Mus musculus: one gene and its partners. The protein of the gene in region 1 purifies or fractionates together with the protein of each later gene. This does not show direct contact. Links are inferred from orthologs where the notes say so. Each region holds a gene or a part of one and is shown in the gene's direction. Other genes may lie near its edges. The genes, in order: Mecp2, Kpna4, Gtpbp4, Cbx5, Ybx1, Kpna3 and Ddx56.

The links.
Region 2: the proteins of Mecp2 (region 1) and Kpna4 purify together in Homo sapiens (affinity purification with mass spectrometry; 3 studies listed by BioGRID and IntAct, counting the BioPlex papers as one, with this or other methods). This does not show direct contact. The link is inferred for Mus musculus from reciprocal best matches to the Homo sapiens genes MECP2 and KPNA4.
Region 3: the proteins of Mecp2 (region 1) and Gtpbp4 purify together in Homo sapiens (affinity purification with mass spectrometry; 3 studies listed by BioGRID and IntAct, counting the BioPlex papers as one, with this or other methods). This does not show direct contact. The link is inferred for Mus musculus from reciprocal best matches to the Homo sapiens genes MECP2 and GTPBP4.
Region 4: the proteins of Mecp2 (region 1) and Cbx5 purify together in Homo sapiens (affinity purification with western blotting; 3 studies listed by BioGRID, with this or other methods). This does not show direct contact. The link is inferred for Mus musculus from reciprocal best matches to the Homo sapiens genes MECP2 and CBX5.
Region 5: the proteins of Mecp2 (region 1) and Ybx1 purify together in Homo sapiens (affinity purification with western blotting; 3 studies listed by BioGRID, with this or other methods). This does not show direct contact. The link is inferred for Mus musculus from reciprocal best matches to the Homo sapiens genes MECP2 and YBX1.
Region 6: the proteins of Mecp2 (region 1) and Kpna3 purify together in Homo sapiens (affinity purification with mass spectrometry; 3 studies listed by BioGRID and IntAct, counting the BioPlex papers as one, with this or other methods). This does not show direct contact. The link is inferred for Mus musculus from reciprocal best matches to the Homo sapiens genes MECP2 and KPNA3.
Region 7: the proteins of Mecp2 (region 1) and Ddx56 purify together in Homo sapiens (affinity purification with mass spectrometry; 3 studies listed by BioGRID and IntAct, with this or other methods). This does not show direct contact. The link is inferred for Mus musculus from reciprocal best matches to the Homo sapiens genes MECP2 and DDX56.

What each region holds. Positions count from the first base shown.
Region 1 is NC_000086.7:74,082,891-74,086,817, reverse strand, and holds the start of Mecp2 (methyl-CpG-binding protein 2), read left to right. Parts: upstream 1-1,127; 5' UTR 1,128-1,231; coding exon of another isoform or gene 1,232-1,308; intron 1,309-3,927. UniProt on the Homo sapiens protein: Chromosomal protein that binds to methylated DNA. It can bind specifically to a single methyl-CpG pair. It is not influenced by sequences flanking the methyl-CpGs.
Region 2 is NC_000069.6:69,089,093-69,092,592, reverse strand, and holds part of Kpna4 (importin subunit alpha-3), read left to right. Parts: intron 1-2,515; coding exon 2,516-2,685; intron 2,686-2,772; coding exon 2,773-2,817; intron 2,818-3,500. UniProt on the Homo sapiens protein: Functions in nuclear protein import as an adapter protein for nuclear receptor KPNB1. Binds specifically and directly to substrates containing either a simple or bipartite NLS motif.
Region 3 is NC_000079.6:8,993,213-8,997,259, reverse strand, and holds the start of Gtpbp4 (nucleolar GTP-binding protein 1), read left to right. Parts: upstream 1-1,247; 5' UTR 1,248-1,263; coding exon 1,264-1,311; intron 1,312-4,047. UniProt on the Homo sapiens protein: Involved in the biogenesis of the 60S ribosomal subunit. Acts as a TP53 repressor, preventing TP53 stabilization and cell cycle arrest.
Region 4 is NC_000081.6:103,205,353-103,208,852, reverse strand, and holds part of Cbx5 (chromobox protein homolog 5), read left to right. Parts: intron 1-3,174; coding exon 3,175-3,361; intron 3,362-3,500. UniProt on the Homo sapiens protein: Component of heterochromatin that recognizes and binds histone H3 tails methylated at 'Lys-9' (H3K9me), leading to epigenetic repression. In contrast, it is excluded from chromatin when 'Tyr-41' of histone H3 is phosphorylated (H3Y41ph).
Region 5 is NC_000070.6:119,277,514-119,281,013, reverse strand, and holds part of Ybx1 (Y-box-binding protein 1), read left to right. Parts: intron 1-1,802; coding exon of another isoform or gene 1,803-1,814; coding exon 1,815-2,049; 3' UTR 2,050-2,080; intron 2,081-2,646; 3' UTR 2,647-3,500. UniProt on the Homo sapiens protein: DNA- and RNA-binding protein involved in various processes, such as translational repression, RNA stabilization, mRNA splicing, DNA repair and transcription regulation.
Region 6 is NC_000080.6:61,370,448-61,373,947, reverse strand, and holds part of Kpna3 (importin subunit alpha-4), read left to right. Parts: intron 1-861; coding exon 862-990; intron 991-2,972; coding exon 2,973-3,077; intron 3,078-3,174; coding exon 3,175-3,246; intron 3,247-3,402; coding exon 3,403-3,500. UniProt on the Homo sapiens protein: Functions in nuclear protein import as an adapter protein for nuclear receptor KPNB1. Binds specifically and directly to substrates containing either a simple or bipartite NLS motif.
Region 7 is NC_000077.6:6,264,930-6,269,229, reverse strand, and holds the start of Ddx56 (probable ATP-dependent RNA helicase DDX56), read left to right. Parts: upstream 1-1,500; 5' UTR 1,501-1,510; coding exon 1,511-1,570; intron 1,571-1,650; coding exon 1,651-1,812; intron 1,813-2,258; coding exon 2,259-2,419; intron 2,420-2,547; coding exon 2,548-2,718; intron 2,719-2,823; coding exon 2,824-2,914; intron 2,915-3,473; coding exon 3,474-3,718; intron 3,719-4,300. UniProt on the Homo sapiens protein: Nucleolar RNA helicase that plays a role in various biological processes including innate immunity, ribosome biogenesis or nucleolus organization. Plays an essential role in maintaining nucleolar integrity in planarian stem cells.

The sequences.
Region 1 (3,927 bases):
TGGTGGCCTAGGTCTCTCTCCAGTCACACTGGCCTCCTTAGTAAGGCAGGCATAGTCCTTCCTTAGAGTGTTTAAACTTGCCTAGAATGTTTTCCCCAATTACCCATATTGGGAGACGACATGAGGGCAAAAGCTAGAGGGTATCATAATAGCACTTCTTTTGTCCTTGCCCTATCTATTTCAAAGTCTTTATCTCTGTGCAAAATTTTAAGTTCTACTTTCTTGTATGTTTAGTATGACTCTTCCTTACCAGGAGTCTAGTTTGTCTCCTTGTTCAGTACTAAAACAGTGCCTAGCAAATAAATGAATAGAGAGGGGAGCCAAATTTGAATCAGAAAGTCTCTTGTTGCATAGTGTTTAAAAAACAAACAAAGAAAGAAAGTCTCTTGTTGAGCATTTGTTTAGCACAAAGAGCATTGGATGCTGACTGGTATCAGGGTAAGGCTGCTTTGACAATGCTCCCTCTGGCCTCACTCCCTTTTATACGTACTTCCATCAAACCATCTGATTCAACAATGACAGACCGATCTCTTATGGGCTTGGCACACACCATCTGCCCATTATAAACGTCTGCAAAGACCAAGGTTTGATATGTTGATTTTACTGTCAGCCTTAAGAGTGCGACATCTGCTAATTTAGTGTAATAATACAATCAGTAGACCCTTTAAAACAAGTCCCTTGGCTTGGAACAACGCCAGGCTCCTCAACAGGCAACTTTGCTACTTCTACAGAAAATGATAATAAAGAAATGCTGGTGAAGTCAAATGCTTATCACAATGGTGAACTACTCAGCAGGGAGGCTCTAATAGGCGCCAAGAGCCTAGACTTCCTTAAGCGCCAGAGTCCACAAGGGCCCAGTTAATCCTCAACATTCAAATGCTGCCCACAAAACCAGCCCCTCTGTGCCCTAGCCGCCTCTTTTTTCCAAGTGACAGTAGAACTCCACCAATCCGCAGCTGAATGGGGTCCGCCTCTTTTCCCTGCCTAAACAGACAGGAACTCCTGCCAATTGAGGGCGTCACCGCTAAGGCTCCGCCCCAGCCTGGGCTCCACAACCAATGAAGGGTAATCTCGACAAAGAGCAAGGGGTGGGGCGCGGGCGCGCAGGTGCAGCAGCACACAGGCTGGTCGGGAGGGCGGGGCGCGACGTCTGCCGTGCGGGGTCCCGGCATCGGTTGCGCGCGCGCTCCCTCCTCTCGGAGAGAGGGCTGTGGTAAAACCCGTCCGGAAAATGGCCGCCGCTGCCGCCACCGCCGCCGCCGCCGCCGCGCCGAGCGGAGGAGGAGGAGGAGGCGAGGAGGAGAGACTGTGAGTGGGACCGCCAAGGCCGCGGGCGGGGACCCTTGCTGGGGGGCGGGTAGGGGCGGGACGTGGCGCGGGAGGGGCCCGCGGGGTCGGGCGACACGGCTGGCGGATGGCGTCCCTCCTCTCTACCCTCCCCCTCCCTCTGCCGCCGGTGGTGGCTTTCTCCACTCGTCTCCCGCAATCGCGAGCGACGGTTCTCAGCGCGATCTCCCTGGAGCCACCTTCGAATGACGCCCTCCCGCTGCCCGCCCCATCTGTGCGCATCCTAGGCCCCAGCTGTGCAAGCGCCCTTGTCGTCTGGGCTTCGCCAGTTGGGGCTGCGCGCGCTCCTGCCCTTCTTGGGGCTTTGGGCCTCGGCACTGTCGCGCGCCCGCGGTCCCGGCCTCTCCCTGGATCGCGCTGTCCCCTTCTCCCTCGCGCGCCCCCACTCCCGTTACTTGCTCCCCCCTCACACACACAGACTGGCGCGCGTGCGCAGTCCATCTCCCGTTGGGAGAGTGCGCCACAAGGGCTCCTGAGCTCTTACCCCCATCTCTGGGTTTTGCTCCCTCCTCCTCCTCTCCCATTCCGTGACTTTTTGCCCCCACTGCAAGCGAGTCGGTCCATCAGCTCCATTCCCCACTTGGCAGGAACAAGTTGAGGGTTATTGTCCACCCACAAAAAGGACTAGACATTATGTTCCTAGGTCCCACAACTCATCATAAAGAGATGGTTGTAGTTCTCATCAGGAACCGTGGGCAAGGGACTGTGCGTTCCTCAGCACTCGAAGCTCTTCCGTGAGACCATGCCCGCAGGGTGCTCTGGTTCTTTGGGGATGCTGTGCTGTGGCTTCGGAATATGAGCGTCTTCCCACCCTCCCTCCCCTCCCTTCGCCAGCGATCATCCAGTTACATAAGTGGAATGGGACGTTGTATGTAACGGGCTCTCTTCGTCCTGGAGCGCTCAGGATCGCCAGTACCAAATGGGGCGAGATCATCGCATCGCTGTGACTCCTGTCACTTATCTTTGAAAGTTCATTCTCTTTTTAGTTTGGTTATGGCTGAATCACTGAAAATAAAACACAGGTGACTTTTATGTGGCAGTGGCAATGTTTCTGAGGTTTTGCACTAAAGGTTTAAAGTCATCATGGAGTCTAAAAAAGATTCCCTCTCACAAGAGAGACCCTGGTATGACATTGTTCAGTATGGACCCCTGAAGGGCAAAGCTTGTTAGGGGATACCTCTATGCTGGTTCCTTGTATGTTCGGGTATAGGTTGATCAAAACAAAAATGGGCTCCACCACAAATTTGATATTCCTGACTCATAGTCAGGCAGATATGTACTCTTGGTTAATTTTCCAGGAACACAAATGGGCTCTGTTGAGTCATTTGCATGTTGACTCCACTGTTTGGAATCATTACAGTGAGGCAGTAGGCTCAAATACAGGGTGGTTGATGACGATCATGAAACAGAATGGACTAATTTATAGTGCTAAGTGACTGAGATGTTGTAGGACAAGTTCTAGATATTTTGTTATACTACATAAATGAAACCAATTTGGGCCTGGGTAGTAAAATTTCACTAATAGGTAATTATTACTGTAGAGGAGAATTTTGGGTTTGTGGTTGGAATTATGTGAATCTCAGCAATTTCAATTAATAACATGATTAAACTGATATCTTAGGTTCTTTGAAATATGTCGAATCTCTATAAAAAGATAAAATTTGGATTGTTAGGTCCTTGGGGAGTTTCCACCAAGGATTTGGAAAAATATATTTACAGACTTTTGGTTTTTCGTTTGTTTTTAACTTCAAATTCAAGTCATACTCAGAAAGCCTAGGAAACACTTGCTTTTATTTTCTTACCTGGATATGTCAGAACCTTAAAGAGTCCAAACACTGTAAAAGTACAAATGATCTAAAATGAGTTAATACACATGGCCGACAGAGTGCATTCACTTTCACAAACACACCCAAGTCTTGCTTGTCAAAAAATTCCAAGGTTTGTACATCTGAGCCTGAGCTCAGAGTTGGAACCTTTACTTTGTTTTTATATTCTTACAACAGGTTTGCTTCCTCAGGTGCCCCTCTGGTTATCTATTTGTTGTACCCATAGCTCTTTAAACATCGTAAGCAACTTCTAGAACACAGTTTCCTTTCAAAGTGCCTGGTGACATCTGAAGCTAGTGTGTCCTAAGAATTTGAAGAAACTGTATGGCTTTCTTGCTAGTATTGATCTATCACATATGCCTATTTTCTTTCCATGAGAATGTGTCTTGAGTACTTTAAAGCTACAGTAACAGGTCACTATTTCACTGAAGAAGAAAGCATCATGTTGTCCATTGTACTCTAAGGATTATTTTTTTCCTTTTTTTTTTTTGTTATTGTTATACTGGTGGTCAAACCCAGGACCTCATGCATGCTAGGCAATCACTCCACATCCTTAGCCTTCTACTCTGTTTTTTGTGCTGTTTGACTCCTGAGGTACATATGACCACAAAGACTACACATAGACCACAAAGATTTTGGAAGGTTATGATATGTTTTTGCAATCTGTGTATTTTCCAGATAGAGTGGTTCACTCTACCTGATCTGCTTCTATGAAGCCTAATCTATTGGGGATAGGGAGGCAAAGCTATGGAGT
Region 2 (3,500 bases), on another chromosome or scaffold:
TTGGTAGTCAGCTCTTAGTTATTTAAAGGGTTATAAAATATATACATTATTACTAACTTTCCCCATCTATGAATAACAGTAGGCAAAAATTAAAATAATTTTTCTTTTTATAGCATACTTGAGCAGTCTAAAAACCTTGTATAAGAGATTAAAATTTAGTATATAATGTATATTTCTATTGTGAATTAACAGTAAGTATCTAATAGCCTAATTCATTATTGAACATTATCATGACCTTTGCCCTTATAAATAACTGTAGGAAAAATAATTGACACAATCTCAGTATTTTGAGCATTTTTTTAGACTAGAGGCATTTTTGTTTGCTTGTGGTAATCTGGCTGCCTGAAACTCATGGTCGTCTTACCTCAGCTGGAGAATCCCCACCCCAAGTGTGGGATTGCAAGACTATATACCGCCAAGTCTGTTTACTGGAGGCTGTATTAACTCAGACTTTAAAATTCAAAGAACTAATCCCAGTACCTAGGGAGGCTGAGGCAGGAGAATTGCTGTGAGTTCAAGACTAACCTGTACTACATAGCAAGATGCTGTCTGAAAACAAACAGAAAACTAGCTAGTGGTGGTTGCAGCACTCCTTCCTTTAATTCCAGCACTCAGGAGGCAGAGGCAGAGGCAGAGGCAGGTGGATCTCTGAAAGTTTTAGGTTTACAGAGCAAGTTCCAGAACAGCCAGAGCTACACAGAGAAACCCTGTCTCAAAAAAACAAAAACAACCCCCCAACCCCCAAACCAATACTGAAATCTGGCTTGGAAATCTTGGAAATCCCTTTTTTGGTGGTTTTTTTGTTTGTTTGTTTTTTGTTTTGTTTTTTGTTTGTTTGTTTGTTTGTTTTGATGAAGGAGGATTCTGGACATTCTTTAAAAATTAAGACACTTCACTTACTTTGTATATATGTATATGTGTGTGTTTACATGTATATTACAGCATATGTGTAAAGACTAGACACTTCCACGTGTGTTCTGAGTATTGAACTCAGAGTGTTAGCAAGCACCTTTACTCACCAAGCCATCTCAACAGCCCTAAACACTCATCACAGTCTTCATTGTTCTGACATGGAGGGTATTGTTTGTTTTGTCTTGCTATGTCTCCCTGACTGACTGTAGCCCATGTTTTACTGAACTCTGAGCCCTATTCCTTCCTCGGCCTTTTGAATTTAGAGGTTATAGGTATGTGTTTCCACAGTTATTTGCATGTAAGTGTTGTTAGCATTGTTATTGCCCCTATTAATTTTTGTGAGCAGCGTACTCTGTGAACTTACTAGTGTAGAGGACACTGCTTTTAGAAGTGACGTTGCATATCTGGGTGCCTCTTGTATCAAGCATCAAAGCTTTGTATAAAGCTGTTAAAAGTTCCCAACCTTCCTAATGCTCACCGTCATGTTGTGATGACCACTGTCTTAGTTAGGGGTTTTTCTGCTGTGAACAGACACCATGACCAAGACAACTCTTAGAACAACTTTTAATTGGGGTTGGCTTACAGGTTCAGAGGTTTAGTCCAATATCAAGATAGGAACATAGTAGCATCTAGGCAGGCATGGTACAGAAGAAGCTGAGAGTTCTACATCTTCATCTCAAGGCCACTAGAAGAAGACTGGCTCCCACATGGTTAGAAGGAGAGTCTCTTTGCCCACCCCACAGTGACACACTTCTTCCAGCAAGGCCACACCTCCTAATATTGCTACTCCCTGGGCCAGAGATATTCAAACCCCAATCATAAAGTTATTTTTGTTGCTACTTCATAACTGTAATATTGCTAATGTTAAGGATTGTAAATATCTGATATGCAGGATATCTGATATGTGACATCCCCCTCCTTAAAGATTTTGTGACCCCACTGTATCAAAGAGACATTATGGTAAATTATTATAATAAAGTAGAGAACCATTATGATATTTGTTTTTGTTTTTTTATTCTCTAATTACATGTTAGAATTATATACATCACCAGATATTATAGTGCAAGAAAGTTTTTTTTTTTCCCCTGTGGATTAGTTTTGCTTCTGATAATGGGTCTCATGTATCCTGGGCTAACTTTGAACTCACTGTGTAGCTAAACTTATCTCCATACTGACTCTACCTCCAAAACATTGTGATTAGACTTGTGCCAACACACTAGACCCTATTAAATCATGATGTATAAATTCTGCATTAATTTTCTCAATAGTTATTTAGACATATTGTATTAATGTAAAAGCTTGTTATACTGAACAAAGCATTGCGGTAATGATAACATGTCTGCTCAAAGTATTTGAAATAATCTTGGGCTTCTGCATCTTAGTGACACCCTGTAAGTGAGCAGCTTATAAAGACACATATTTGTTACATTGGTTCTCTTGGCTCAAAGACCTATAATGTCTACTTGTTAAATTCCTAGTATTTTTATATAAACTAAAAAAAATCTTATTAAAATGTTAGTAGCTGCATAATTGTACCCAGTGCTTTATGTTTTCTGAAAAAGCTTAGTGTTGATTTATCTTATTTAATTAATCCTTTCTACAGGTGATGGACCTCAGTGTAGAGATTATGTGATAAGTCTTGGAGTTGTAAAACCTCTGCTTTCATTCATAAGTCCATCTATTCCTATAACATTCTTAAGAAATGTTACCTGGGTTATGGTCAATTTATGTCGCCACAAAGACCCACCACCACCAATGGAGACAATTCAGGAGGTAAATAAAAGAAAAAAATAGTTAGATACCATTTTATGTTTTTTCTTTTAATCAGTATGTTTAAGTTGTACATATTTCTCTCCTCAGATTCTTCCAGCTCTTTGTGTATTAATTCATCACACAGATGTAAATGTGAGTAAATTCTTCTCGTATATTAATAAATGTATGTATGTGTGTATGTATATCTTCTGGACTCCCACTATGATATTGGACTGAAAACAGTGTGTAATTGTATTCTGTCATACTTTACCATTTCAAGAGTTAAGGTACTTATTTGTTATGTTTCCATTTCCTCTGTTTCTGTAGCTTCAGTGAGGAGTCAAACCTGTTACAAAGATGCAGTTAGTCATCTCCTCTCATCAGGATTGATTGTTCTTGACATTTATGCTTACTCCAGCTGCCATCTGGCTTTTGAGAATATATACACATGGTTGTGTTTTTGTATTTTGAAGCATAAGTGAATATTTAGCTTAAATACTAATTCGAGCGTGCATGCGTGTGTGTGTGTGTGTGTGTGTGTGTGCGTGTGCGTGTGCGTGTGCGTGCGTGTGTGTGCGCGCGCGCACATGTGTATGTCAAACTATGAAAACCTATTGTTCCTCAGTTCCATTTTTCAGTCTTATTTCTCCAGTTATAGCAAAGTTCTTTGATTAAATACAAATTTTAGTGTTTTGTTTTTTCAAAGATTTGCAAGACATTGGAAAGTATTCTAATATCCAACAACTTTGTTTTTCTTTCCACTTGTTTCCTAACTCTTGTTTATCTGCCACAAGATGAGCTTGTGCTTCAATGTTTACTTTTAATAGGTCTTGAAT
Region 3 (4,047 bases), on another chromosome or scaffold:
ACTCAGGAACTTCAGAAGAGCAGTTAGTGCTCTTACCCGCTGAGCCATCTCACCAGCCCGAGACTGTCCTTTCCAACAGCACAGAGAGATGCATTTAGTCAGAAAAGCAGAAAGTAAATGCTCTTGGGAAATACCCAATTTAACATATCTGGAGTCTGATTGAAAATGTCTGATTGTAATTAAAAAAGACACCAGGCTGAAAGCAACTTGTATTATCAAAGTAGTCCACACTGGGGCTGTGAAGGAGAAAGGAGAAAGGAGACTTTGAGGAGAGGAAGAACCTTGAGGATTATCTAGTTAGGGAGAGACTCAGGAAGGTAAATTAGCAAAGAAGACTGCATTCTAGACATCAAGTACCAGAATGATGGATGTCACAGAAAAATAGGGAGAAAGGTTTGAAGAAGATGGCAACACCTGAGAAAGGGTCTTTTAGTTAAAAGATAATCATGAGGCAAGAGTAGATGGATTAAGGTAAAGAAATGGGTGGCTTAATTAAACTGACAGGGAAAACGCAAGTGGGAAGGTTGGCTTCAATCCATGTAGGTCTGTACGGATCAGACTTTGTGTCTATGTCTGGTGCCTGGGTTCTGGGCAGCTGTGTGGGGGGCAGAGTTTTTTCACTGGCCCATGTCAGGTGAAGGTCAGGTGAAGGTGGAGCACCCACAAACCACCTCGAGACTGCAAGGTCAGGAGAGGAAACTCGGGCCACCTGGAAGTATGCAGTCTACTCCATTAACAGAAGCCCCGTCAACATAATTTACTCGAATAAATAACTTTCCACACTGCCAGGCGACAGACAGCCTTTCTTGCTCAAGGGACACCAAAGTGATGCAGAAGCCCCGCGCTGCGTCTTCCCGCTCGTCACTCGCTCTGGCCGCGGCGTCCCCAGAGGTGGCTGGAAACACCCTTTGGAGCCCCGAAGCCGGCTTGGGTGAGGGCAGTGTTTCCTGAGAGCCCCGCCAAGGTGGCCAGCCGGGAGTCTCCCTTTCACCCCGCAAGGTTATCTCTCCCACCTCTAAACCCAGCAGATCTCTACCGCGGCTCTTGGCGGCGGACTTCCCGGCCGAGCGGGGACGCTGTGGGACTAGAAGCCTGTCTAGGCGGACGCGTGGGCCACGCCTCGCGGACATTCAGGAAATGATGTAACGCTTGAGTCCGGCAGCCAAAGTTGTGTCACGCCGGATAGCGGAAGTCCCGCCCACCTCCGCCGGCGGAAGTCCGGTCCTCCGCTTCTCCTGGTTCCTCGTGCGTTCCACCGCCGGCATGGCGCATTACAACTTCAAGAAGATTACGGTGGTGCCGTCTGCCAAGGTAGGGGTGACAGAGGTCGTTTCCGCCTATCTCCATTTCCCCGACAAGTCGCCAGGGAGGGTCCAGGCCTGTATCCCCGAGACTGGGGGAGGGAGGACACCGTGCAGTCCCTCGGCCCTCAGTGCGGAGCTCCGCTTGCTAGGCTTTGTCCTCGCGACCCTCGGAGATCAGTCCCACTCTCTGAAACCAAGCCCCTCTCCTGCTGTCCTTGGGTACCCTAAGCCCTAGAATCCCTCCAAGACATCAGGGCCGTTCCAGAGCCTATGATTCTTGTGTGGCCTGCCGACGGGACAAAGTGTCTGGGTGGTGGCCACAGTAAGGAGCAGGGTAGGAAGCCTGAAGGGGCCAGTGGTGAGCGTCGTGTGAGTACCCTCCCCTTTAAGTAGAATTTGATTCGTGACGTCACGGTCTAAAAAGATTTTAGGTAGCTGTCATTTTGTCGTTGGACTTAAAAGATGCAATTGGTTATAAGCACGCAAGTAGCCAGGCCCACATTATGTAACGTAGCAAGATGCTTTCCTCCCAAATGTCGAGAATGAGGTAGGCTAAAGAACCTAAAAGGATACACCGGTTTCTCTGGCAAGCCATGGGCATTAAATTGCAGAATCAGTTAGAGGAACCAGTGTCACTATCGTTAAATTGACCGCAGTGTGGGTGTTTTCGACATCCCCCTTTCTGAATGAGCTTGCTTTGAAAACTTGTGTAAAGAACTAGTATTTTCTGGTGGGCGTGGTAGTGCACGCCTTTAGTCTCAGCACTAGGGAGGCAAAGGTAGGCGGATCTCTGAAAGACCCTGTCTTGAAAAGACAAAAACCATGTTTCCACTAGTTGTTTTCCTTACACGTCTCTGTATTTCTCCTTTCTTCCTCTTTCTGATATCCATTCTGATACGTTTTTCACACGTTTGTAATAATTGGAAAGAAACTACATGTAGGAATCACATTTTGTTTTAGCCCACGAGACTGTCGCCACTACTTCTCAAGTGCATGTTGAAGGAACTCGTACACTTTTTATTTCACTGGAAATAGAGTTCATTGGGTCAAAGGAACTTTGTTGATATAATTGACCTAGGAAAGGCAGCCTTTGTCTCTGTTGCCCTGAAGGAGGTCTGTTTGCAGATGAGTTTGCATGTGTGTAGATAGGTGGTGGGAAATAAAAAGTCAATCTGAAGAGTATGGGGTGCTTTTGTAAAGTGTGTGCCAAGTTCTGTGTATAGAAACACATAGAATAGTCTGCGTCTTTAAGAATCATATTCTGGGGGCTGGCGAGATGGCTCAGTGGTTTAGGAGCGCCGACTGCTCTTCCGAAGGTCTCGAGTTCAAATCCCAGCAACCACGTTACGTCTGTAATGAAATCTGATGCCCTTTTCTGGAGTATCTGAGGACAGCTACAATGTACTTATATATAATAAATAAATAAGTAAATAAATCTTAAAAAAAAAGGATTTTCTGAAGGAATAACTGAATGTGTTTATACCCACCGCAGTATGATGGAGAAGTGTGAGCTCCAATTGGCCCTCTGTATGAGTTCAAATCCAGAGTCAACCAACACAGATTAAAAACACTATTTGAAAATTGCATCTATATTTAATGTACATAGACTTTATTTTCTCTTTTTTGTTTGTTTGCTTTCTTTTTGTCTGCCTTGGCTGGCCTGGAACTTATACATTTCTGCCTCTAGGATTAGGATTAAAGGCGTGAGCCACCATGCACATAGACTTTTTAAAGGAGCATTCCCTACATATAGTTACAGCTATTTACCGTATATGACAAATATATGTGGATTCTTCTACACACAAGTACTGTGCCATTTTATAAAGTGAACTCAAATATCTCTCTGTTTTGGTGGGCGAGGGCTTGGGTGGGAGGAACCCTGACTATAAACTCCTGTAAATATCAGAGATTTGGGATAACATAAGAATGTAGTGAGAACTGGGCAGTCGGTGTTAGTGCATGCCTTTAATCCCACTACTGAGGAGGCAAAGGCAGGAGATCTCTGTGAGTTTGAGGCTAGCCTGGTGTACAGAGCAAATTCCAGGACAATCAAAGCTACACACAGAGAAACCCTGATTAGAAAAATAAAAACAAAGAATATACTAATAAATGGGTGAGTTTGGAGAAACTTTTCAGTAGGCAACTTTTAAAAGATATGAGGACCATGGAAAGGAACAGAGTAGAAGAGCAGCAGGCCTGAGTATCCATGCTCTCCGTAATCTGGCAGACTGTATTGTGATTACCTGCTTGCCTTTGGTTTTGTTTCGTTGGATCTTAGTGTCTTCTTCACTGTTTTGTCTTCAGCATTGTGTTCATTCTATCCTTTATTATAGAAAATGATCAATATTGTTCAATTAATGGAAGTGATCAAGGGAAAGTAGAACAGCTTTCTATGGTTGGGTAAAAGTGAATAAGTACAAATATCTCAAATAGTCTACTCAGCATACCCAGGAAATTTTAGATGATGAGTTTTAGATTTTTCATTTTATACCCCTTTAAAATCAAAGCTACAAAATCCTTGAAATTGAAGAGCTGGCTCTTTTTCTTCTGATTTATTCTTGAGTTTATTTGAAAGTTAAAATAGCATTAAAAAACATGGGGTAAAATATATTTCAGCAACCATTAGCAAGTCCTCTCTTCTACCCCAGGCATATTTTTATTGGAAGAGTGACAAGGAAGGGGCCTCCTCCATCAGTTGGAAGTATTCACAAGTTTTTCAGCCATTCCAAACTCAGGTCCTGGC
Region 4 (3,500 bases), on another chromosome or scaffold:
CTTTGTAGACCAGGCTGACCTTGAACTCAAAAAGCTGCCTACCTCTGCCTCCCAGGTGTGCACCACCACTGCCCTGCCAGATGTCTTTCTTGTGTTCATTGATACACATTGGCTTGCTGGCTAATGGGCCTCAGGGATCAGTCTGTCTTCCCATCCATAGCATTTATTTTTTCTTAGTTTTTTTGTTTGTTATTGTTTCTGTTGTTGATATTTGAGACAGTGTCCCATGTGTCTTAAGTCTGGACTCAGAGCTCCATTAGATCTTTGTAGTTTTAGTTTTCTAAAACCTGTGCTACAAATAGAAAAAATTTTTTAAAGATTTATTTATTTTATACATGTGAGTACACTGTTGCTGTCTTTAGACACACCAGAAGAGGGCATCGGATCCCATTACAGATGGTTATGAGCCACCTTGTGGTTGCTGGGAATTGAACTCAGGACCTCTGGAAGAGCAGTCAGTACTCTTAACCGGTGAGCCATCTCTCCAGCCCACAAATAGAAAATTTGGAGGTCAACTTTGAGAATATAAAAACTCAGAGGCAGCCGGGCGTGGTGGCGCATGCCTTTAATTCCAGCACTTAGGAGGCAGAGGCAGGCGGATTTCTGAGTTCGAGGCCAGCCTGGTCTACAGAGTGAGTTCCAGGACAGCCAGGGCTACACAGAGAAACCCTGTCTCAAAAAAACCAAAAAAAAAAAAAAACCCTCAGAGGCTTACATGTTGGTTCATTCTGTACTCTAGGTATTTGGAAGGCTGAAACAAAAGAATTTCAGAGAGTTCAAGACCAGCCTGAGCTACATAGTAAGACTGTCTTTAAACTCAAAGAGAAGCTGAGTATTGTGGCATGTACCATTAATTTCAGCACTCTGAGAAGTAGAGACCATTGATTCTCTGTTAGAGGTCATCTTGATCTACCTAGCAAAGTTCCAGGCCAGCCACAGATCCTGAGTAAAAATAAAATAAAAATAGGCGGCCTTTTTTCATGGAGAGAAGATATGCTAGGGATTAATGCCATGGAGCCTTGCTTACAACTGGACAAGCACCTTTACCACTGAGCTATATACCCAACTTCTAGACTGGGTTTGTTTTGTTTTTTTTAAAGATTCAATTGGGGGGGGGGCTTGTTTTGTTTGGGGGTGTTTTTGTTTTGTTTTTAAAAAGGCAGTTGGAGCCGGGCGTGGTGGCGCCCTTTAATCCCAGCACTAGGGAGGCAGAGGCAGGTGGATTTCTGAGTTCAAGGACAGCCTGGTCTACAAAGTGAGTGCCAGGACAGCCAGGGCTACACAGAGGAAACCCTGTCTTGAAAAACCAAACAAAACAAAACAAAACAAAACAAAACAAAAAACGGCAGTTGGGCAGTGGTGGCACATGCCTTTAATCCCAGTATTCTGACTTGGGAGTCAGAAGCCGGTGGATTTCTGAGTTCAAGGCCATTCTGGTCTACAGAGTGAGTTCCAGGACAGCCAGGGCTACACAGAGACCCTGTCTTGAAAAACCAAAAAAAAAAAGGCAGTTTCTCTTTGTGATCCTGGCTGCCATGGAACTTGATCTGTAGATCAGGCTGGCCTCTCCCTTGTTGGGATTAAAGGTGACTACCACCACCTGCTAATTGTGTGAGTGTTTGTCTGTGTCTGGGGAGGGCGGGTAGTATGAATACTTTGCAGGTACCTGTGGAGGCCAGAGGGCATTAGATTCACTGGAATTGGAATTACCCATGTTCAGGTCCTCTGCAAGAATAACAAGCACTCTTAACTACTGAATCATCTCTCCAACCCCCAAATTGGTAGTTTTAAATGGGTTTATTAAACTATAATTTATGTGCCTTAAGAGTCAACTACTCTAGGCAGTGGTGGCACATGCCTTTAGTCCCAACACTGGCTTTTAACCCCAGCATTTGGTAAGCAGAGGCAGGCAGGTATCTTGAGTTTGGGTTCAGTCCACAGAATGAGGTTTAGGACCGCACTCACTCTCAAAAAAATAAAAAATAGTAAAAGAGCCACCCATATCCATTGAAATTGTACAATGTGATGTTTCTTGTTTTGTTCTTTGAGACAAGGGTTTTGTCTTATTTGTTGTTGTTTGTTTTGTTTTTTCGAGACAGGGTCTGTAGACCAAGCTGGCCTTGAACTCAGAAATCCACCTGCCTCTGCCTCTCAAGTGCTGGGATTAAAGGCGTGCACTACCTACCCAGCTTGTCTTGTTTTTCGTTTTGTTTTGTTCTGTTTTGTTTGGTTTAGTTTGGTTTTTCGAGACAGGGTTTCTCTGTATAGCCCTGGCTGTCCTGGAACTCACTTTGTAGACCAGGCTGGCCTCGAACTCAGAAATCTGCCTGCCTCTGCCTCCCAAGTGCTGGAATTAAAGGTGTGCGCCACCATGCCCAGCATTGTCTTGTATTTTTGAGACAAGGTTTCTCTCCTTGTAGCTCTGGCTGTTCTGGAAACTATTCTGTAGACCAGACTAGCTTTGAACGCTGAGATTGGTCTGGCTTGTTACTGTGTGTCCATTACAGAACATTTCTTCAGTTTAATCTAAAATATATCTTGCCAGGGTATGTCAGAGAAACGGAAACAGAAAGAAAGCGTATGTTTTCTTACAAACTCAGTATACTGTTTTTGAGATTTTTCTCAATGTATTTTGTTTCTTTTTGTTGCTTAATACTATTCCATTATACAGTTGCATCATATTTTTGTTCATCCATTCATCAGTTGGTGACTGTTCAGGTTTGTTTTAGGGTTTGGCTACTAAAATGTTGCTATAGGGCTGTACTCTCTGTGGTGGAGCAGATATAAAATCCTGGTTTAGGGTTTGATCCTCAGTCCTGAAAAAAATACTGCTGCTATAATAGTTCTTTACATGACTTTTATGAACATACTTTTTCCCACGTCTCTTCTGTGAATATTGAAGATTAAATTTGTTGGATTTCTTTTTCTCTGCAGAGCTGCAGCTCAAGCCTATGGCACTGCATATGCTAGCGCCTTACCATTGAACTATACCCTAAGTATAGATTTCCTGTCCTTCCCTCACATGTCCTCCTTACAACAACCCTTCGCAATGAAAACAGCTAAGCTAAGGATGTAGTTTGCAAACACTCGCCAGTTCTGCCGAGATGGGAAGTGGGTGAAAACAGGGCATTATCCTATCCCTCATTCTTTCCTTTTGTCTTTATTTTTGTCCAGGGAGCACAATACTTGGGAACCTGAGAAGAACTTGGATTGTCCTGAACTAATTTCTGAGTTTATGAAAAAGTATAAGAAGATGAAGGAGGGTGAAAACAATAAGCCCAGGGAGAAATCAGAAGGAAACAAGAGGAAATCCAGTTTCTCCAACAGCGCTGATGATATTAAATCTAAAAAAAAGAGAGAGGTGAGCTTCCTGCTCCTGTCACTGTCCTCTTGCTCCTGCTGTGCAAACGGGGTTTAGGTTTTCTCTTCTAAGGATGGACCTTAAGGTATATTGTTAAACAAAAGCTTGCAGGGAAGTGTGTTGATTAGCTACAGTGACC
Region 5 (3,500 bases), on another chromosome or scaffold:
TTGAATCCTCTGTCCACTTGTCCAAGTACCCTCCTGATTTTGACCCTCCCACCCCCAATTAGGTGTGTGTGGTGTGTTTGTGTGTATGTCAACATTTGTGATCTTTTAATCTTTTGTGTGTGTGTGTGTGTGTGTGGTTTTTTTGAGAAAGAAGGGAGAATGAGAATATTTAAGTTGCTTGAGCTGCCAGCTTCAAACGACCAGCCTTCCTGCCTGGCCTCTTGAGTAGCTAGAATCAAAGGCCTTTACCCTGGCACCCAGTGTGACCAGTGCTCTGTGTTGGTTTGATTTCTTTTTTTTTTTTTTTTTTTTTTTTAAGATTTATTTCTTTATTTCTTTATTACATGTAAAGTACACTGTAGCTGTCCTCAGACACTCCAGAAGAGGGAGTCAGATCTTGTTACGGATGGTTGTGAGCCACCATGTGGTTGCTGGGATTTGAACTCCTGACCTTCGGAAGAGCAGTCGGGTGCTCTTACCCACTGAGCCATCTCACCAGCCCTGATTTCATTTTTGAGGCAGTGTCTCACCTGGTAATTCTGACTGGCCCAGAACTCATAGAAATTGCTTGCCTCTGCCTCTTCGGGGCTGGCATTAAAAGGTGTGCGCCCTCATGCTTACTGCCCTGTGTGTTACTCATTTGTTTTGAGATCAAGCTTTTATGTAGCCCTGACTGTTCTGAAACTCTGTGCAGGCAAGATTGGCCTCAAAACTCAGATCCAGATCGCCTGCCTCTGCGTAATGTCCCGTGTTTTTAAGATTATTAGGGACCTTTTGATGGTTCATTATAGTTGGTTATATATTTCTTAGATTTATTTTATTTGCATGTTTTGTTTGCATGTATGTGTGCCTTAGTCAGAGGCATCAAATCCCTTGGTACTGATGTTAAGAACGAACAGGTAGTTGTGTATACTGATATCTTGGGCAAATATTTTTTGGTGTTTTTAGTTGTATGTCTGCCTTTTATAAAGATAGGTATTGATCCTTTCTGCTTTGATTTTTGTTTGTTCTATATATGTATGAACGCTTGCCTGCATGTGTCTGGTGCCCATGGAAGTCAGAGAGCTTGTGGGTTCCCCAGAAACTGGAGTTAGGGTTGATTGTGAGCCACCATGTGGGTGCTAGGAATCAAACATTGGTCCTCTGGAAACAAGTGTTCTTAACTATGGAGCCATTTCTCCGGCCCTTGAATTAGTTTTATGGTAGGTAACACATTGTGCAAGCTTTAAAGTTTGCACAAAGTAAAGGATTTTCTAACCATGCCACAAATTGGTCACTTCTCAGTTGATTGCTTGTCAGTTTAAGTGTTAACAGTAGTAAATGAAACATGGTGCTACTCATGTATAAGTACATGGTGAGAAAATACTAATTTTTTTGTTCATGAACAAATAGGAAATATTAAGACCCGTGGGAAGTATAGCTCCTTTTGATGGAAAGGGTACTGGTATCGGTAAAAAATTAGGTCAAGGATTTCAGTGTGTGTTAAATGGAAATGAGAGGTTTAAAAGTACATAGTACATAGAAGAATAGTTACTGGCAAGAAAAGTCCAGGCAGAGGGAACCAGCATGGTTCTGTTTCCAAGCATTTGAGCAGCTGATTCAGCTTTATTGATCTTGGTTAATATGAATGAATGAGAATCTACTTATACACTTGGCTTTTGAGAGTAACTTAGATTTTTTGCTAAGTAAGCTTGTCTGAAAGACCACTTGAATAAATGGTTGGTGCACCCAGGTACCAAATATTACTTGTGGTAAGGCTAAAGGAAGGAAAAAAGCTGTTACTGTTTTCTGAGATTATGTAGCATTCATTTCAGGGGCCCTCCTCGCCAAAGACAGCCTAGAGAGGATGGCAATGAAGAGGACAAAGAAAATCAAGGAGATGAGACCCAAGGTCAGCAGCCACCTCAACGTCGGTATCGCCGAAACTTCAATTACCGACGCAGACGCCCAGAGAACCCTAAACCACAAGATGGCAAAGAGACAAAAGCAGCCGATCCACCAGCTGAGAATTCGTCCGCTCCCGAGGCTGAGCAGGGCGGGGCTGAGTAAATGCCGGCTTACCATCTCTACCATCATCCGGGTAAGTAGGCACCCTTGGCTTCCACTGCACTGAGCTACGGTGCAAAGAAACTGGCAGTAATAGATTAAGATAAGACATTTTATTATAGTGTTGTGCACTCTAGCACAAATTAGACAAATGTACTTTTTTGATTATGAGCTGCCTACATTCTGAATCAATGATAATTTTGGCAGAAAGCTAAGCAAAGTCTTACTTCCTGTGCTCTGAAGACAGTGTTGTGAATTTGAAGGTTTGAAAAGTAACCTTGCCAGGTTTGGCAGTGCCCACCTTTAATCTCAGCACCCACACAGAAGGCAGGCAGATTTCTGAATTTGAAGCCAACCAGGAAATCTGAGGTCTGTCATGCCTAGTTTAGCTTAATTTGACTTTACTAGCGAGTAAGACTGTTTACCTGCTCTGGTTCTGGGGTTGCCATATTTTTCAATTAGTGTCCACTTCTCTTCTTGTAAATCATCCTTTAAGCTAAAGCCAAACAGTGGGTGAAATGTGGCTGCTAGAGTGCCAATTCTAGAGTGTGGTCCACGAGCTAGACTTCGGGATGGTAATTAAGAGTCTTTTCTTTGCAGTTTGGTCATCCAACAAGAAGAAATGAATATGAAATTCCAGCAATAAGAAATGAACAAAGATTGGAGCTGAAGACCTTAAGTGCTTGCTTTTTGCCCTCTGACCAGATAACATTAGAACTATCTGCATTATCTATGCAGCATGGGGTTTTTATTATTTTTACCTAAAGATGTCTCTTTTTGGTAATGACAAACGTGTTTTTTAAGAAAAAAAAAAAAAAGGCCTGGTTTTTCTCAATACACCTTTAACGGTTTTTAAATTGTTTCATATCTGGTCAAGTTGAGATTTTTAAGAACTTCATTTTTAATTTGTAATAAAGTTTACAACTTGATTTTTTCAAAAAAGTCAACAAACTGCAAGCACCTGTTAATAAAGGTCTTAAATAATAATGTCTAGTTTTGTCATAATTGAGTACTCTCTCCCACTTTTAGAATAACAGGTAACACCAGCAGTAAGCAGTCTGTCAGGAGTGCTGTGAGGCATCAGCTGTAGCCACGTGAGTGGGGTAGAGAAGCTTTGTGGGGCCGGGCTAGTCTGGGGTGTTTCCCTCTAGAGAAGCTCCAGGGCGAGCGCACTGGCATCGCACTAAAGAACTGCTGCTGAGTGGGGACTAATGGCTGCTAGTTGTCCGCCAAGTCCATCAACTTTTTAGGCCAATTCTTTGTAGTAGAAACTAATAGGAATTGATGAAAGACTTCAGCAGCCCTATTAACATAAACACACAGAGACATGTTAGTGTTAGCTCATACCAGTCATGGTGACTGCTGTAAATACTCTGCTGTCAAGAGCATAGTGAAAGAATTCCTGGGTAAGATTCACAGGTGTGAGTTTACCGATAACAGACAGTGTTGGTTAA
Region 6 (3,500 bases), on another chromosome or scaffold:
CCTGTGTTCAGTATCCTGTTAGGGACAGCATGGTGCATATCTGATGCCTGCATTCTCCTTCATGTCCTGCTGGATTCCTGGGTTCCTTCTCCATCCTTGCTGCTGAATGCTTAGGCTCCTCCTTCATCCTGCTCTGTTTCAGGTCCCTTTTCTTTTCACTGAAGTCTTCAGTCTGCCTTTGGGATAGTATCCTAACTGCATACCTTTTGCTGTGCTCTGATTAGGGGTTGTTGTAAATTCTGCTCATTATACTTCTCTGCCAAATGTTTTACCAACTAAAAATAAATGCTGACCCAGAATGACATTAAATATATTAAATGCAGGACTGTATATGACGTGGTAGACACAAATGCATGCTAATTCAGAATAATATTAAAGTCTATGGGACCTGTTCAGTGATGAATAAGAACTGTTTTAAAGATGGGACTTCATAAATTTTAGTTTTCGCTATTTAAAAAACTTTCCTAGAAAGTTTTATGTGGAGTTCAATAATTTTCCACTGGGGGCTGGCAAGATGGCTCAGTGGGTAGGAGCACTGACTGCTCTTCCAAAGGACCTGAGTTCAAATCCCAGCAACCACATGGTGGCTCACAACCATCTGTAATGAGATCTGATGCCCTCTTCTGTTGTATCTGAAGTCAGCTACAGTGTACTCATGTATAATAATAAATAAATCTTAAAAAAAAAATACCACAAGAAATTACTGTTTAAAAGCCATTGCTTGGTTTGCTTATGGCTTTGTTGTAGGGATGGAATAAATGTTAATTTTTTGTTCCTCACAGTCTCTCAAGAGTTAATGAAAAAGACGGAAACAACAATTTCATTATAAACATGTTTAAAACTGTTTTCTTCCTCCTTCAGACTGCAGCACTCAGAGCGGTTGGGAACATAGTGACTGGCACTGATGAGCAGACCCAGGTGGTTCTCAACTGTGATGTCCTGTCCCACTTCCCAAACCTCTTGTCACACCCAAAAGAGAAAATAAATAAGGTAAAGGCATGCACTGTTGCTTCTCCTCTCTATGACGGTTTCCTCGTTGCTATTAGGATGTTTATTCAGTCATGACACTCCAGGGGAGAGATCTTTGTCACGGTTTTACTGTTTCATCACTGTCTGCTTCCTTTAGTCCCACTCTCAGCACAGAATAAAAATAGTGAATATTTGGACTTTTTATGTTTAAATAGGTTGAGCAAAATTGGTAATTATTAAGTTATTAACCAGTATACAAAAAATACATACAAAACCTCCCACAAAAATAACTGGTATTTTTAAAAAATAAACATGTAATTTAATCTTCTACAACATAGAAAAGACCTTAGGGTATCATGTCTTCTTTCAAAGATCATAAAATGTATTCCTTTAAAGTTTTAAATACACACACACACACACAAATGTATTTGTAATTGGACAGCAGACACTTAAGTAGTTTTATGTCTTGTTTTAAAGTTCATTTATTTAATAGAATGTTAGAGCTGTGTGTGTGTGTTTATGTGTGTGAGGGGGAAGGACCAAGGTCAGCATCAGTTATCTTCCTCAGTTACTCCCTACATTGTATTTTTAAAAATGACTTTTATTATTTTTAATTCTGTGTATGGGTGGGTGGGCATGTGCATATAAATGCAGGTGCCAGTAGAGGTCAGAAACAGCCCCTCCCTCCCTGAGCTGGTGGAGGTCCAGGAGGTGACTGAGCTGCCCAGGTGTTCCTAGGAGCTGGGCTCTGGTTTTGGAGAACAGATCATGCTCTCACCTTGTGTTTTGAAGCAATGTCTTTCACTGGACCTGAGCACTACAGATCTTTTGTGTCTGTGCCTCACCAGTGCTTGGGTTACAGATATGTGTCAGTGAGCCGAGGTTCTAGATGGGTGCTAGAGATCTCGTCGGGGCTCATGCTCGTATGGCAGGCACTTCACCACCTCAGCCTCCTCCCAAGCAAGCCTTGACCTGATTTGCTTTTATGGCCGAATAAGTCACTCTGTTGGATGTTATACCACATTTTTCTCATTTACCTGTTGAATGACACTGGGGTTGTTGCCACTGCTTGGCTATTGTGAATAAAGTTGCAGAAAACACTGACACATCAGTAACTTTCAAGTCTTTGATTTAGTTTACTCTCTGATGTTGCTAGAAGTTGCTGCAGTCATGGTAACTGTGTGGTAGTTTTTTGAGGACCCTTTAAACTATTTTCCCTTATGGCTGTACTTTACAGTGTATTAGGGTTTCGTTTTCTCTCAAGCTGTGTGGCTATAGTTGTTGGTCACCATGTGTCTCGCATAGGTGCTGAGTACCTGAACGCAGGTCCTCATGTTCTTGTAGAAGGCACCTTATCCACCGAACCTTCTCCCCTGACCTAATGCTTTAAAATAAATATCTTGTAGTGGAAGTAGTTTTGACAAGAATTTGGAAATTCCAATCTTTGGGCATGCCTTTCAAAATAAACTAATACAACTCTGTGGAGAAAGGTTTGAGGCTGCTTTATTTGCTGTTGTATCTACTTAGAATTATGCTTAGCTTAAAGTAGGCTTACAGATCATTACATAAACACTGGGTTTAGTGGACATACGAGTATCACGACTGGAAGCTTCCTTCCTCTTTACTTAAATGGGAAGTCTGAATTGGCTAAATAGCAGGTACAATGCTTGCCTTGTAAACCTGACAACCTGAGTTAGATCTCTAGAGCCACATGATGGAAGGAGAGAACCAAATCTCAAAAGTTAGAATTTGTCTGACCTGCACATATGCACTGTGGCACAGATGTGTACAACCTTTGCTTATATACCAAAACTAGAATCGCATACAGCGATAGTAAGTAAAATTAAAAGGGCAGTCTTGCACAACCGATCACTTTTTAGATTTGGTCACTTTAACACTACTCAGGAGATTTTGTTATCAAATATTTAAAATATTAAAGAGAAAAATAAAAACATTAAAAGTAGCTTTTTCAATAAAAGTGGTCCATATTTTGTTCACTACAGGAAGCAGTATGGTTCCTTTCCAATATAACAGCAGGCAATCAGCAGCAAGTTCAAGCTGTAATAGATGCTGGGTTAATCCCTATGATTATTCATCAGCTCGCTAAGGTCAGTTATATTATAAATTCATTATTTATCTTAATTTTTTACAACCCACATGTTTTTGATAAAGAGCTTACTTTGCGAAATTGTTTTTACATTTTAGGGGGACTTTGGAACACAAAAGGAAGCTGCTTGGGCAATTAGCAACTTAACGATAAGTGGCAGAAAAGATCAAGTGAGTATGAGAAAATTTAACTTGTCACTTTACTAATTTCAGCAAGGGCCCTTCTTATTTTTGTAAGTTACTAGATGTTTTCGTCTGGGTACTGCAGTTGTTAGAGGAAAAAGAATTAACAAATATTACAGATATTTCTTCTCTTGTATTGTCTAGGTTGAATACCTTGTACAGCAGAACGTAATACCACCATTCTGTAACTTACTGTCAGTAAAAGATTCTCAAGTGGTGCAGGTGGTTCTAGATGGTCTTAA
Region 7 (4,300 bases), on another chromosome or scaffold:
AACCCATTCACAGGGTCCACCTAAGACCAGCAGAAAAGACACATTTACATCATGATTCATAAGAGTAGCAAAATTACAGTTGTGAAATAGTAAAAATGATGTTCTGGATGGGGGTCACTTCAACGTGAGGAACTGTATTAAAGGGTAGCAGCATTGGGAAGGTTGAGAAGCACTGATCTAGATCATCAGTTTGAGCTCACTGCAGTCACAGGTGCCAGAGTCCAGCGTTTTGCAGTTAGGCTTCTAGCCCCACCTTAAGTCTCCCCCTTTTCCTCTCCTTTGCTGCTGATTGAGACTCTAAGGCATCATGCACGCTAGGGAAGTGCTCTACATTGATCCTGTTGCCCACTTAATGACCCCTTTTATTGGTCTTTTCCTTCAGCTCAGCCCCTCCTGTTATCAGGAGGGCTTTCCCTTTCTTAATAGGTGGTCACTATAAGACCCTGTTGGTAAATGTTTTTAGTCCCCACCAATCTCTTTTCTGTTATTGCCCTAACAATAGTTACAGCGCCCAGAAGAAATGGGCCTAAGGTCAACTGACACTTTTTTGGCTTTAGGTGTTTTAAGAGGTCCCAAGGAAGGGTGGTAGTGCATGCCTTTAATTCCAGCACTAGGGAGGCTGAGTCAAACCAGTCTGGTCTACCTACCAAGTTCCAGGCCAGCCACTACATAATGAGGCCATGTCTCAAAAAAACCAATCAATCAATCTTCCCCAGGCAGTGATGGCACATGCCTTTAATCTCAGCATTTGGGAGGCAGAGGCAGGCGGATTTCTGAGTTTGAAGCCAGCCTGGTCTACAGAGTGAGTTCCAGGACAGCCAGGGCCACACAGAGAAACCCTGTCTTGAAAAAAACAAACAAACAAACAAAAAAAAAAAAACAAAAAAAAAACAAAAACAGAAGAAAAAGTCCTAAGGACATTCCCTGGTAAGGAATTCTCAAAGAATGGGCCTTATTAACATGTGTAACAAAGTCTGATTTTCGTTTTCTGGGAAAGATGGTCCCAGGAAGGGTTCGAGTCAACTTGGCTCTTCTTCTAAGAGCTGTTAAGGATTGCACCGCGTGTTGGCAGTATTTGTGAAAATCTTCATAGTAGCTGAAGGCCTGATTTAACATTTATCTTAGGTTAGCAACTTGTGCCGCGATTTCTGCCCAGTGAGATTTGCCTCTGGTTACCCACAGAACCCTAATTCCTTTGCGCATGTGCCTAAGTGGCGGCTGCCTCCCTTTAGCCAAAACGCGGTCGATCCCAACCATAACCTAGCAAAGCCCTGCCCACGTCACTCTGTGGGTCAGGGAAGGCTGAGGCGCCAGAGAAGAGGCATCCACAATTCGGAGGGCGTTCAAGGGACAGCATTGCGGAACGCTCCTGCGCAGAGCCAGCACAAATTGGTAGCAACGTCGGACACCCAGGAGAAAGTACTTCCAGGAAGTGACGTACCTTCCAGAGCTGATTAGTTGTTGGTTTGTCCCGCCCTACGCGTGCGCACTGACAGCGTGGAGTCACGCCATGGAGGACCAAGAAGCGCTGGGTTTTGAACACATGGGCCTGGATCCCCGGCTCCTGCAGGTATGGGGTAGGCTGTGGAGCTGCTACCCGGTGTGCCGCTGTACTCCACGCCGCTTGAGCTGCGTCCTCTTCCTTCTTAGGCTGTCACCGATTTGGGCTGGTCGCGACCTACGTTGATCCAGGAAAAGGCCATTCCTCTGGCGCTGGAGGGGAAGGACCTCCTGGCCCGCGCCCGCACAGGCTCCGGGAAGACCGCAGCTTATGCTATTCCGATGCTTCAGTCGCTTCTCCACAAGAAGGCGGTGGGTAGCGAGAGGAGCAGTGAGTATGAGGCAGGACGCTCCAAAAGAATAGGGAATGAAGTGCCCGACTGTGCCAAGGTTCCTCCTATAGGTCCTGTGTCAGTGTTAGGCGGCCCATAGAGAACTTGGTCAATTTGCAGCTTAATCTCTGAGCTGGAGTTCAGGTTACTTGGCTCTCAACCCGGGCCTTGGTGCCACGACCGCCATCCTGTTGTAATTTTGAGTAACCTTTTATCTAGAGGGGGACTCATCAGCTCCGTAGTACGTTAAGTGATTTCAGCAAGTTCTAAATTTGAGTGCCTGGGAAAGCTCTGCCCCCTGTGCTGTGAGGTGGGCAGAATTAAGAGTTTATCAGGACACAGCTAGGTGGTTGTGTTGCAGTACATGGTTCTGACTGTTTGGGCGGACCCAGTACTTTGAACGGTCTTGAATTGGTGTTCTTACAGACAGGTCCTGTAATGGAGCAGGCTGTGAGAGGCCTTGTTCTTGTTCCTACCAAGGAGCTGGCACGGCAGGCCCAGGCCATGATCCAGCAACTGGCTGCCTACTGTGCTCGGGATGTGCGAGTGGCTAACGTCTCAGCTGCAGAAGACTCAGCTTCTCAGAGGTGGGTGAAACCTGCAGGCCTCCAAAGGGAGAACGCTTTGCAAGTGTGTGCCCTTGGTGGTGTGAGTGGCTAGCCTGGGCAGGTCTGCCAGGGCGAGGGTCTGGCTGCTAAATCCTTGCCACCTGCAGAGCTGTGTTGATGGAGAAGCCAGATGTGGTGGTGGGAACCCCATCCCGAGTGTTAAGCCACTTGCAGCAGAACACCTTGAAACTCCGGGACTCCCTAGAGCTGCTGGTGGTAGATGAAGCTGACCTTCTTTTTTCCTTTGGCTTTGAGGATGAACTCAAGAGTCTTCTCTGGTAAGGAAGAAACAGAAGTGGCTCCTAGACCTGCAAGGGTCTGGACTTGGGACTGGAGTGGAATGGGTGGGCTGGAGCCTGATCAAGCCCTGTTCTTTCTTTCAGTCACTTGCCTCGGATTTACCAGGCTTTTCTCATGTCGGCCACTTTCAATGAGGATGTACAAACTCTGAAGGAGCTGGTACTGCATAACCCGGTAAGTGGAGCATCTGGGACTGAGACCCAAGTCTCTGAACTTGTTGATCCTTCTCAGGAAACTTCTGGCGCTTGCGGGGGGACTATTTTTGTTAGGTATGTCTTTCCTAATTCTTAATCACTGAAAGGAAGTCACTTGAAGTCATTATATATTTATAGCTTTCCCTAGTCCAAACTGTGCTTTGCTTGGAAGTCACTTGGGGTCACGTTTCCAAAGGGAGCCAAATTCTAAGACCAGAGTTCCCCTTGTGTACATTTCAGTCTTCTACTTCCAGCCATTGTGCAGGCTTCTATTCTGTATCCTGTCTACTCCCAATGTTTGTCTTTGTGCTGTACACTGATGCTGTATGTATAGTTTGTTTCTAATACCACAATAGTTAGGGTACTTTTGAGTTCTTAGGTTACAGCCCTGAGGTGGGGTGGGGGATGGGGCAGTGGCTCACACACCAAAAACCCTTAAAGACATGTTCTATCCTGCACTAATGTAGTTGCTTTGGTTAGTGAGGCAGTGTCCACAGAACCACTTCTCTTTCCTGATCACAGGTCTGTCCTCTTCCTAGGTTACCCTCAAGTTACAGGAGTCCCAGCTGCCGGGGCCAGACCAGCTCCAGCAATTTCAGGTGGTCTGTGAGACAGAAGAGGACAAGTTCTTGCTGCTGTATGCCCTGCTCAAGCTGTCACTGATTCGGGGCAAAGCCTTGCTCTTTGTCAACACTCTAGAGAGGGGTTACCGGCTCCGTCTTTTCCTGGAACAGTTCAGCATTCCTTCCTGCGTGCTCAACGGAGAACTCCCACTGCGCTCCAGGTCCGCTGTGTCTGTCTTGATAAAGATAAGCTGAGAAGAAACATGGAAGGAGAACCCAGTTGGTTCTTTCCCCTTTTACGAGATGGGTTATGCTGTATTTGTAGTCCAAGTTAGCCTTGAATTTAGAGCAGTCCTCAGATTTCTAAGTGCTGAGATTAAATTTGTGGGCTGCCTCACACAGCTGGTCTTATTTCTTCTCCTCCCGCCTCTTTGCAGTGTGAGGGATTGAGCCCAGAGCCTTGTTCTTGCTAAGTAAGCACTCAACCACTCAGTTATACACCTAGATCCCTTTTCTGTTCTGTAACCACTTGCTAGGAGCTAGCCTCTCAGTATGATGACAACTCTGAAATAATTAGCTGCTGCTCCATTAAGGAAGAAAGGAAGGAAGGAAGGAAGGAAAATTACGAGTGTAGGTGTTTTATTGCCTGTGTGGTTTATGTGTCCTACGTGCGTAGCTGATGCATAGGGAGGCCATAAAGGGTGTTGGATCCCCTGACATTGGATTTACGGAGTATTAGTTGCCATGTGGGTGCTGGGACTAGGACCTGGGTCCTCTGGAGAGCAGCCGAGCGTTTAGTCCTT